Linked DNA regions of Arabidopsis thaliana. The gene in region 2 interacts genetically with the main gene of each other region. Each region holds a gene or a part of one and is shown on either strand. Other genes may lie near its edges. The genes, in order: STI and PIR121.

The links.
Region 1: changes in PIR121 (region 2) and STI impair growth when combined (synthetic growth defect), as found in Arabidopsis thaliana (one study listed by BioGRID).

What each region holds. Positions count from the first base shown.
Region 1 is NC_003071.7:658,850-666,335, reverse strand, and holds STI (AAA-type ATPase family protein), read right to left. Parts: upstream 5,682-7,486; 5' UTR 5,473-5,681; intron 5,342-5,472; exon of another isoform or gene 5,331-5,341; 5' UTR 5,244-5,330; coding exon 3,186-5,243; intron 3,097-3,185; coding exon 2,877-3,096; intron 2,663-2,876; coding exon 2,105-2,662; intron 2,015-2,104; coding exon 1,393-2,014; intron 1,280-1,392; coding exon 1,195-1,279; intron 1,113-1,194; coding exon 999-1,112; 3' UTR 701-998; downstream 1-700. UniProt on the Arabidopsis thaliana protein: Acts as a key regulator of trichome branching through an endoreduplication-independent pathway.
Region 2 is NC_003076.8:6,101,906-6,107,128, forward strand, and holds the start of PIR121 (transcription activator), read right to left. Parts: upstream 3,076-5,223; 5' UTR 2,961-3,075; intron 2,887-2,960; 5' UTR 2,879-2,886; coding exon 2,825-2,878; intron 2,512-2,824; coding exon 2,439-2,511; intron 2,356-2,438; coding exon 2,291-2,355; intron 2,151-2,290; coding exon 2,073-2,150; intron 1,736-2,072; coding exon 1,616-1,735; intron 1,530-1,615; coding exon 1,459-1,529; intron 1,364-1,458; coding exon 1,271-1,363; intron 1,087-1,270; coding exon 1,017-1,086; intron 928-1,016; coding exon 863-927; intron 718-862; coding exon 522-717; intron 413-521; coding exon 261-412; intron 157-260; coding exon 63-156; intron 1-62. Other genes in the region: AT5G18420 (CCR4-NOT transcription complex subunit), read right to left, coding at 3,733-3,833, 4,000-4,084, 4,295-4,436, 4,522-4,595, 4,671-4,742, 5,154-5,223. UniProt on the Arabidopsis thaliana protein: Involved in regulation of actin and microtubule organization. Part of a WAVE complex that activates the ARP2/3 complex. Interacts with the active form of RHO-family GTPases.

The DNA.
Region 1 (7,486 bases), on a different chromosome or scaffold from region 2:
AATACCGAAGTGTTGAATAGGTTGCTTATGTTGAATATTATATATAATAATATTCTATTTTCAACAGCTTAATATTATAAATTTATAATTTTATCACTACTATATCGTGATGATTCGTTAATTACTAAAATAAATCAAAAACAAAAACAAAATCTGAGACAGTTTGATCTCAGCTATTCTTTATCTAAATTTTAATTTTCCTAGTTTACATTATTAACTTGATTTACGTAAAACTGGAAGGTCCAAACCGATTTAAGGTTATATAACATAGAGTAATATAATATTTGTTGAAATTCCAAGTATTAAATAGTTTTGATTTTTTTTTTTTTAAAATATACTCCACTAAATTTTTGGATGATATATATAGAAAATAAATTACATAAAATATTATAAATATAAATATTTGTTCCAAAAAATATATTTATAAATATCAAAATTATAGTTTGTTTTCTTTTATAATTTATTCTCCGCGACAAACCCTTTGGTCTATTACATTTACTAACTTTTCAACTTTTCATCTCCCCGCTTAAGTTAGGTGAAACAAAACTTACATAACCTTTTTGTTCATTTTAAAATTTTAATATTTTTTAAGACTTGAAAAGAGTTTAACAATAGAAATTTTGATTTGTTTCAATAGTTTCAATATGTGTCATAAACCAAGTAAATATGAAACTAAAAATTACAATAACTGAAAAAGGTAAATCACAAATAATAAATATTATTTATTTTTCCAACAAATGCAACACAAAAAAATTGAAAAATATAAACTAATGTGCAAGGTTAACCAATTCGTCGATTATTTCACAGTAACATTTTTGAAGTTTTTATAAGATAGATAACAAAAATGGATAGGAACTTTACAGTGAATATATTAAAACTGTCCTTTGACATATCATTATCAAACATAATTAAGGGAAAACTATGTGGAAGTGGAAGAACAGATGATAAATTAGAGCTTGAGGGAACAATTTTGTTTTTCATGACTAAAGAACTTAGTTTCATCTTCTAATGTTACCTTCTGCTTTCCTTGGCTTAGCACATCCATTAAACAGAGAGAACCGACTCTTCCGATTTCTCCGCGAACGAACAGGAGTTCCCTTGACCTGTTTCGACTAATCAAATCCGCAAATGAAAAACAAATGAGACAAAGAAAACATCGAAAAGGAGGAACAGATTCGAGTTATTAGCACAAACCTTGCTTCGTCTCTGAGTCTTTTTTGTGTTCCAACAAAATAATATATTACAACCAACTCTTCCTGATCCTGATTCGTATCCTCCTCTACACAACCAAAGCCAAACATGACATCATTACGACAATACGTTGATTATAAAGATCTTATTTGTTTTTTCTTTTCGGTTTTGTATCGAAAAGGATCAGAGTGAGGAACTTACAGATTGTCTTTGTTGTTTCCGAAGTTAGTATCATGAAGTAAGCTTGGGGAAAGAGGACAATGCTGTCCTCTTGTACCGGTTAGATTCTCCTGAAGCTCACCATTGTCGCCGATTTTCAAAAGCTTAACTTCATTGTTTAGCTCATCTACCCATTGGTGAGTGGTTAGGCCAGAAGAAGAAATAGCAGAAGCTACGTTAGTTTGGCGATAAGTGTCTTCTTGAGGTAGAATCTGATTCCTTTCGGGTTTTACCCGTATTATCGATCCAGGTGTGTCTTTATCAGCGGTTTGTAACCAAGCGGTTTCTAATCTTTGTTCTCTGATGATTGATTCTATCCTTTGCATCGGGAGTTTTGATCTGCTTTCCACGCTGCTACCAACTTCAACATCTGTTTCGGCATTTAAACCAGCGATGTTATTTAGATGCCCACTTTTGTTGGTCATTTCTGGTTTCCGGGTTTGGTGAGGGACAACGAGTAACTCGGTTTCAGGCAAGAGAATTATCCTGACCTCTACGCTTCGCCTTAGTACCATTTCAATCGAGTTTGTGATACTGCTTAGAAACCTTTCAGCTCTCAGTTTGATATCGTTTTCTCCAAACGCGATATAAGCAACGAGAATACCTGCAAATCATGTCATGTTCATTTTATTAGAATCTTTGGAAAGGAGAAAACCAAAAAAGTGAGAAAAGAAGAAACTTTTAGGCTTTTTACCCTCAACTTCACTGATAGATATAAGTTTCCCATGAGTATAGAGCAGCTGCCTCAGTGTCTTTGAGTGACATCTTTCAATACATTTTCTCCATATATCGTTAAGTTTCTCTGAACTTCTTTGATTAAGCATCATGGTGCTTGCGATGCTATTTTCATGTGAGGCAATGGAACCTTCGCTCTCTATCATTTGGCTAGATGAGGAGGATTTATAGCAGTTATTATCGATAACCCTGGAGAATGGTTTCGCTTCATGGGAATGATTCCCGTTCCTTTTTATAACCGAAGCTGGAGATGCCGACTTACTAAAGTGAAGTCCTCCTATTCTCTGTTTGTAAGCCATCACTTCCCTTGAAACGCTTGCTGGGTCATCGTCAGTTGCTCTAGAGCTTTGCCTTCTACTACTGCCTGTATGTGTGGTGCCAGGAGAAGGCATTGACCCAAGCTGAAGCAAAGTCGCTGTGAACCATGTTGAACGGTCATTAGAAACTCTCAGCTGCTTCTCAGCCTCAGAAAGAAGTTTCAAAGCATGCTTTAATCCCTCCATATCTGCTTCAGTCACTACAAAAACGAAGCAAGAATTTTCGAAAATCAAACCAAGTGGTTTATGACTCATCGTAGGGAGTAAAATTGCTCTTACAGGATATATTAGCTTAAGGGTGTTAGAAAATATGAAACGGGCAATGATCTCAACAAGCTACCAGATCATAACGCCTCACTAAACTACTTTTTTAGCACATATGACCAATATGTAAATACTTTGCTGGGAACTCACAGTTTCTTCCGTCAAAGAAGGCGTTGCTGTATTTTTCATCTACGACCTTGTATGTACCAGCAATGATATCCATAATAAGACTGGCGAGTTGAGACATCAAGACTATTGGGTCAGCTCCAAGGTCCAACAACTCTCTAGCTCGCTTAACAGTCTCTGCTGTGTCAGAAGACAATGCTAATTCCAAGAGTTCCAACAATTTTTCATCTGAAACAACACCAACCTGAACAAACACATAATGCCACATTTTTAACTTTAATAAATTTTACTTTTTTTCAGTGCACAGTTACAGAAAGAACTAGAAAAACTTACTAGCTCGTTTACTAAAGCTGTGGTGATGCGTTTTCCCAGCAAACTCAGCTGCTCCAACATAGTTTCAGCATCTCGAAGTGAGCCATCCGCGTTCATAGCAATCAGGTCCAACGCATGCAAGTCTACATCAAGATTTTCGTCTGAAGCAATTTTCTTTAGTCTCACTACTATGTCAGAATCTTTGAGTTTGTCAAAGAGAAACTTCTGGCACCTTGACTGAATGGTCCGGGGAACATTTTCAAGGTCAGTAGTTATAAATATGAAGACAACTTTCTGCAGAGGGTTTTCAAGAAACTTAAGAAAAGACAGCCACGTCTTCGATGGCAGCAAATGACACTCGTCTATCACAAAAACCTTGTACATTGAGGAATTTCGTGGAAGTATCGTCGGTAGGTTTTTTAAAAGGTACCTAACCTTATCAGCTCCCTTCTTATTAGCTCCATCAAGTTCCCAAAAATCCTTACTTTTCCCAGACATGAAATCATTGCACTCTTTACAGTACCCACAAGGCTTCATTTCTTCAGTGGCCACACAATTCAGGGCGGCTGAAAAAATCCTTGCGGTTGATGTTTTACCAGTTCCTCTAGGACCCTGGAAAAGATAAACAGGAGCGATCCTACTCCTTTTAACAGCGTTCATTAACGATTGAACCACTATACTTTGTCCAATCAATTCCTCAAAAAACATTGGTCTGTACTTTTGGCTGAAGCTTCGGATTGTTTCCGGTGTACTTCCTTCTTCTTCTTCTCCATCTAACGCTACAGCCTCCAAACCATCTTGACTCCTATAACTAGTAGACCACCTCCTCCCGTCTAATCTACTCTGAGCCTCTAAATCAAGCTCTCCATAATTGGTAGAAAGCTCATCATCACTAAGCCCGGTTCCTAAAGAAGACCCTCCTCTACCATCACCACCGTAACTGAGTAAAGGTAAAACACCTTGTGCACTTCTACAAGCAATTTTTTGTTTACTATACCCTCCAGAAGAATGTCTATTATGTCTACGATACACAGATTGACTCCCACACAAAATGCTACTTCCGGTTCTTCTCAAAGTATCCGAAAACGATGGAGAGCAACAACTTCTGCATCCGCCTCTATGTTTCATCGCCTTCTTCGTCCAATAACACGGAATACCACATCCTTGCCTCCCTGGTAAATCCAAGTTATCATCCAACTCATCATCACCATCATTCACCGAAGTCGTGGTACCATCCCAAGATCCAACAGTGCTGGGATTACGAACAGCATACATATTGTACGAACTAGTGGATAAAGCCGGTGTACTATTATAAGTACATGAAGAATCCTCTTTTCTATTATTAGCTCTCAACAATCTTGACGAAGAACGTGACCAGTTCTTCTGCTTAAGCTTCAAAAGCAAAGGAGACGCACCAGTGACCTTCCTCAAATCCTCTGAATTACTCAATTCCTCCTCTGTGTCATCTGATCCAGCATTACAATTTCTAGCAACAATGTCATCTCTAGGTTGATACTTTGACAAACAATCCAAACGAGAAGAGCTAATTTTTTTCTTACTCTTCTTCTTACAACTACCAACATTACTCTTCCTCATCTTTGACACACCTTGTGACGCTAGATTCGTATCTCTACACCTAAAACCCATCGAAGCTGATTGTATTTCTCTACGATACGAATCACCACCATTCCTCGCATCACTCACATCATCATCATCATTAACACTAGCTTGCGTCCACGAAGAAGCATCTTCTTCTTCTTCCTCTTCTTCCTTACCATTCTTAGCTAATCCACTTTTCTCACTAGAAGATTTCTGAGTCTTCCAGTTATACAAAAACACCTTCTTCTCTTTCCCACGACGATTAGTACTACTCTCTCCTCGAATCGGAAACTGACTCGAACTGCCACCGTTTCTGCTCGCCGGAGTCTCCAAAAGCGCGACGGATCTTGACGAATCGAGAGGAGATTTCCAGGAGGAAGTAGTACCTGGATCGCGTAAAACACGGCCAGCTTTTCTGATTTGAGTCAGCTCCTTCTTCAGATGCAATTTACTCAGATCCGAAACTCTCGAACCTGACATTTTTTCTTCTTCCTAAATTTGAATCAGCTTCCTTCGATTTCTTCCTTCTCCTCTCTCAGCTTCGCGTTTTCACTGACATTTCAAAACCTGTGCAATACCTAATCAGAACAACGCAGTGGAAACAATGAAAGTGAAGAAAAACAGAAGAATGTAAAACTGTAGATCCAAGATAAAACGAAGGAATCGTGGAAACAGCACGAAACACTAAGAAGAAAATAATAATATATACTTGTTTGTTCTTCGAGAGTTCGCCGGAACTAAGGTCTAGGGATTATAATACATCGCCGGAAGTGGAACAGAGAATGATGAATCTCGAGTTCTGAAACTTGATAGTCGCCTGCGACTGCGAGAGAACGCATGAAGGAAAGCGAGAGACACTATTATTTTCTATTTTTAAATTTCCATTATTTTTAATTATTTTAATGGGTTTTTTTAAATTCACATTTGTTTGTTCGGGTCTCGTCAAAGCCCCTCCTTGTCTAGTGTTTTCGTGTCTCGTCACACTTAGTTTTTTCTTTCTTTTTTTCTCAAAAAAATACTAACAAATTTAGTCAAAAAAATAAAATAAACATCATGATGAATACTAATAGAGAAAAGATTAGTGAATTATCAATGGGAATATTTGTATATGGTAGAATAGAATGCTTACCTTAATGAAAAGAACTATACATTAAGGTAATTCTTTGCAGACTTATAGACGTTACATCTCTATTTCGTAAGGAAGTGTATTTTTTTTGTTGAACAAATTTTACATTATCAGGAATAAAGAAAAAAGGACAGACATTATGTGATAACTATATTTATTAATTTCACAAAACAAAATAACTATATTTCTTATTTTGCAAAAAAAAAAATATAACTATCTTTATTATAGGAATAATGTTGAATTTTATACTGTTTTTCTTTTCTTAATAGTTTGGTATGGAAATGAACATTTAAGATTATCATTACTATGAGAATAAATAGTGTTGTTGAATATTAGTTCATATGTAGATATGTATTGTTAGAGATGTCAAAATGGATAAACTCATTCAAACCAATCCATAATCCAAGTTTAGGCTGAAATGGTTTATGAGTTGATTCAATTCATTTGTTGAACGGATTGAGTCAATTCATTAATCCAATTATTTGATGGTTTAATGGTTAAATGAGTTGATTCCTGAAAATAAAATAATTAATTAATTAAATAGAATAATTAATCAATAATTATTACCATTGAATAATATTTAGTGACATAAATAGTTATGATTAATATCATATTTTTAGTGGAAAAACCACGGAATCATGTTTTCGTGGAAAAATATGAAATCATGTTTTATTAAAACAAATGTGAAATCGTATTTGGCAGAAAAATGTTGAATCGCATTTTGGAGGATATTATATTGTGTTGGTGAATACTTACATTCGTGTTTTCAACATGTGCGTTATGTTTAAATATGTTACTTTATTAATGCCATAATATATTTTTATCGAGTTTATATCTTCAAATTTAGATGTAAACTTAAAAGAACATTTGCAAAAAAAAAAGTGATTTGTCTAAATATCGTATAATGATATAATTATTTTAAAATCCGATCTTCACTATATCACTACAATTCTACAATTCTCACTTTTTCGTTTAAAAAAAATAAAAAAAAATTGGTCGTATTTTTCAGATTTGAAATATCAGTATATTGAGTTCTGCAAAAGGAAAAAAAAAAAAAAAAGTTTGATGCATCATCTGATCATCAGTGAAAATATTTTTTTATAGTAGAATATAAAGATTTATTGTAGAATATAAAGATTACCATTTCAAAGCTTCTCAAATTCTTTTCATATTCATAAAAGGAAGTTTTTTGGTTGTTGAATAAATTTACAGTACAATAAATAAAAAAGAATATACATTATGTTATAACTATATTTAATATAATGTTGACTTTTATGATGTTATCTTTAAAAAAATAGTTACTGTGTGAAAATAAATGTTTATGATTATCATACTTTGCTACGATAATAAAGTAGTGTTGTTGAATATTAGTTCTTATCACGATATAGTGTTGTTGCATACTTATTTACGTATTTTCAACATGTGGCTTTTGTTTATATACTGTATGTTACCTAACTGATGCCATAATATATTTTTATTGATCTTATGTTATCAATGTACCCTAAAAAGAAAATTGGCAAAAAATGAAAATTTTGAGTGTCATACAATGATAACACAATTATTTTTTAAACGCTATATTCAGATATATGTATATGAC
Region 2 (5,223 bases):
CCTAGAGACTCAAAATAAGAACAAGAAAATTGGAGCTCCAGGGATAGAGATAGCTTGAGCACCTGATTCATGGATGAAGCAAATCGGATTGTGAAATCGTCATGCTCAGCACGGAGAGCTCCAATGTGATTGACTATCAAATAGTGCCTCTGATATGTAAAATATGTTAAGGCTTGCAATTTTCAAAGCATGTGTACGGTTAACAATAATCCAGATAATAGTTAAAATAGGCAAGTAACAGTGAAAATATTAAAGGATATTCTAGCGCTTCACGTGGAGGGAGCTCATGAGGTGCTGGAAGAGTCAGAAGGCGAGTCTGTGATGAAAACTTTTGAAAGTATACCGACAATTCTTTCAAAATTGCAGCAGGAGAAAGATGGAGATCTGGAAACGCAGGAATGACAGGATCATTCTGATAGCCGAAAAACACACAACAAATATGACAATTAGCGACTTGGAAACAAGGCTTTGCGGTATATTGGTTGTGAATGCGAAAACAGGTATAACATGAATCTCAATACCTTGAAAATGTTTATCAATCTGTTGAGTTTTACCCTCTTGTATAAAGCCTCGGTATCTTTCTCAGATGGTGTTGCTAAGACAACAAGAACAGGTAGAACCCGGAGAAGAATATACCGCTCAGGAAAAAGTAGTGCAAAATCCAACTCCAGAGACTCCACGATGAAGACTATGAGAACTTGGAGAATATCTTCCACACTGAATTTACTAAGGAATCCAAAAGCTTGCAATATAGTCAAATGGCACAAGGGACTTGAGCAGCATGCATATCTCAGATAGACAAACCCATAATAATGTCTTTAACAGCCACACGATGGTGATAAATGTCTGGAAGAAAGGATACTTGTTTACACGGAACATCTCAACGTGCAGGTTGAGTAAAATAGCCCATCTTGTGCTCAGGAAGATCTGCATACATAAGAACTCACATTTTCATTTACGACAAACCACAGGGGAAGGCATTATCAAATGATTGCATAAACAAGCCATGCAAACACCTGCAAGTCGTCTAACTCTTCTCTCATTGTATCTGTATCTTGCCACTGCGCACTGACTTGAGTGAATGTTCTGAAAAGAGTGAAACTATCTTAAGAACATAAACTAAAAAAAAAAGCTTCTAGGAAACTAATTCAACTCTTAAATAGAGCTTTAGTAGCTGAAAGGATTAGTAACAAACATCGATCTACCTACATTCAAGTGTCCTATTTGCAGAAAATATAGATAGGAAAGATAAAAGTATTATATCTTTCACCTCTTATACCAAGAGAAATCATTAGGAATGCTAGCTTTAGCATTTTTAAGATGATCCAGCTGAACCAAGACGTCAAGCAACTTTAGCATTGACCTATATTAAGTAAAATCACAGTTAAACTATATACACGAGGAAAGTTAATCATCCAAGGATCTAATACAAAACACAAAATAAGAGTTATAACCCACCAAAGATGTGTGACTGTGGGACCATTGATCCGCCGTTCAGGTCTGGAAAACCGCTGCATGTCAGCAGCTAACTGCACAGACAGAGAATATACGCACATTATTTCTGATACAGGAATTTATATAAAACGAGTTGGACGAGGAAGGATATACACCGCACTTTAGCTGAAGCCGACGATTGCCATCTTTGAATTTCGCGTAAACGGCTCATTTCTAAGTCCAAAACTTGATATGTTTCTAGATACAAATCCGCTTGACTATGCTTCATAGATTCGGGAAGCTGCATGTATATCATTAATAAAGAAAGTTATGTGTGTTATGGAAGAAATATACACAACAACACCCAGCAAGAAGTACTGTATTTGATATTATTTTCAGTAATTTCTATCATTCGCTATTATTTATACAGAGAACTTTGTTGTTGCTTTTATTTTTGCATTATAACTGCATTATACTTTGTAGTTCAAAAAAGAGTCTCGTACAGTTGCTACGAGATTTCGAATACCATGAAGAACTAACGCATAGCATAATTCTCAAAGCTACATTTTATCAGATAAAATGTCTAAAGGTAGATATGCAATGGAGACAAGGAGTGTAGTGATAGATTTCACAAGGACCTGAGGCAGTGCTTTGACACAACTTCTATATGTGTATAGAATTGACGCCATCTCTTTTCCTTCTTGTATAAGTGTATTCTGCATATATACAATTGGTTGAAAACTTACTTGAAGTATTCAAATATAACACGATTAACACAACATAACCGTAAAAATATCAAATCGTAATTTAATCAGTCTTTCTAAGATGAGGCAAATGAAGAAGAATAGCCATATACCAGCTGGTTAAGAGCTTTTGTGTCTTCTGATAGAGACAACCGGTATGCAGCGACGTCACTATATTCTACAGAATAGTAATAAAAAAAAAAACATCTTGATTATTTGGATTTTATGGTAAAAGAGTGACAAGAGAACAATGAAGCATACCGATGGGACTATCGGTTGCTGCTCTTTCAGCTGAAACCATCACAGCCGGTCCTTGGACTTCTGGTTGCTCATCCTATAACCAAAATTCAAAATGCTTCAAGAAAATGTACTAGAGTGACTTCAAATTTTTCAAGAAGCTACTTAAATCTTCAACATTTCGTTGAAACTTATTTTACTGCTAACTTAGGCAAAGATCCACAGGTGATTAAACAATATATGTGATAATTTTACACGAAAAGGATTTAACAAGAAATAGAAACAATAATTTCATATCCTTTCTAGAAGAAAATTTTGAAATATGAACTCCGGAAAGAAAATTTGTAGTCAAAAGGATCCAAAGACCCACAATTTCTAAATTTTACCAAAATCTAGAATATCGAAGTTACCTCTAAGGAGAATGTGGAAAGAGCTGCGATTGCTTCCTCTACAGGAACCGCCATTGAGTCACCTGGAAAGATCAGACGAAGCAATTAGCAACATTGGGCGACTAAAGGATAAAGCTTTCAACTTTAAGGCTCTTACCCAACAACAATGGAGAGGAGAGGAGAGCTGCTACTACTTCAAGTCAATTGATTCGCCTTTCTTCTGATTCTTTACGGACAGAGATCGATAAATTCGCTACTACTCTGTCCGAACCAAATATTTCGCAAAGTTGGAAGCTTTCTTTTTCTATTTGTTTTTCTGTAACAAAAAAAAAATGTTTCTTTTTGGGTCCTCGTTTGTATTTTCACCTTTCAGAATTTTTCTTTAGTACATATTTGTTCAATCCGATTAAAGCTTTGAGAAGAAGCATTACATTTGTGTCTTTACTATGAAGCAAACTTGATGACAGCTAAATCATTATTTACTGATTCCTTTATCCTCAACCATTTCTTATTTTGGGAAAATACATAAGAGTAATACCAGTAACAAAACAAAATAGATATAAATACAATTTTACAGTGAACAACTACTGAACATAAAATAAGTTACTTTGTAGAATCAGTAACAACTTTTAAGGTTTAACCGGAGCCTTAAACCAATCCGGATAAGAACCAGCAGGTGTTGGTGCTATCGGTGTGAGCATGTAAACCGTTCACGGTTAAGTGTTAGTAGCCTAATGGAAAGGACATGCCGTCTAAGTCTAACCAGAAATTTTTGTTGTAAAAACATATGAATTGAGAATGAAACTCTAGAAAAAGCGAAAACTGTCTTGGATTCAAAATAAAGTACTTTCTTTAGCTACAAAAATAGGGAATACAATAAAATGGAGACGAAGATGATTAGAAGAAGAAGAAGAAGAAGAAAGAGTAAATTATTCATCCAATTGTTTCAAAAGCCTGAAGAGACCAGCTGCTTCTCGAACCCGAGAAAACTCAATGCAGAAAGCTTGAACTTCTATGAATAGATCCTTCACTGTTACATTTTTTACCCAAAAAAAACATATATCACCCACAATTGTACATCATACTAATAGACTATAAAAGCTTCCTCTGTGAATGTATCTAGTGATCTTTCTGTGTTATTAGCAAAGCAAAACGCCTAATTTGATAGCAATCAGTCAGAAACAGAGAATGCATACCGTTGATGATCTTGTTACGAATTAAGCTTTGCAAGAAGACGCAAACAAGCCGTACAAGCCTATTCTGCATGTATTTGTCTTGCTGCTACAGATCGAAAACAATATATCACTATACCGTTAACAAAACAACTACATTGAAATCAACAAATCCGAGAATCATATACACAAAGCACATAATGCAAAGCACAAGCAGAAGTTTTTTCACACAAGATTATAGGATGGCGTTATGGATACTCATAGAAAGCTTTGTTTTAAGTACCTAACGGGAAATCAAAAGGACGCTTTGTTTTAATACCTTAGCGTTCTCACAAGACGATATGCAATTAGTGATGTACATCCGTATGAAGTCCTTGGGAAGTTCAACTGCAGTTGTGAGCCTATTCACAACTTCCATTGAGTGCAGGCTCATGTCCATATTTCCTAGAGCTTCATAATAGCTGAAGAAGCATTCTTAGATTCCCACTTTAAAAGTTATAATTTTGGTCGAAAGTAAATGGTGGAACCAATAAGGTGATGACTTACTCATTAATCTCTGTGGAGTTATTCAACTTGGTGAGAATTTCAACTGCTATCTGAGGATTGTGCTCTACTAATTGCTGAGAATAAGAAACTAGATCACATGAAAAAAAGAAAAAAGAAAAAAACCACCTGCCAGAAAATGAATCACATACCGGCAGCTTCCGTGGAGTTATTCCGCAGTGAAAGACAAGCTTTGGGTCATTTGCCAATTCTGTAATGATGTCCTGGCCAGTAAATAAATAAAACAAGTTATTTCAATCACTCAAAAGATCCAGGTTTTCTAAATTCATCAGCTATACGGGCAAGGCTGATGAAATAAAACATCACAATCACTATTTATCTATTGCACGGTTATTTTCCATAAACTCTTACTGCAGTCAATTCCTTCTTAATATCCTAGATCTTTAAATCCAATGAGAAAGGAAATACTAGAGTGATAGCACGAGCACGACTTCTCTCTCAAAACTACTGCCATACAATGGCTGCCTTTACAACCTTTAAAATTTGTGCATATGTAGTTACTGTCCCATTGCTATGTTAACTTGCTTATAAGTGTTAGAGTAAGATAGGTAATAAAATGGTCAATACTTGTATGATTTTATGCGCATATCAAGAATTAACGAGCGATAACATACCTCTTGCTCCGTAGGTGAAAGTGTCACCTTTAAACCCTTAACAAGCAAGTCTCTAACTGTTGCACCACTG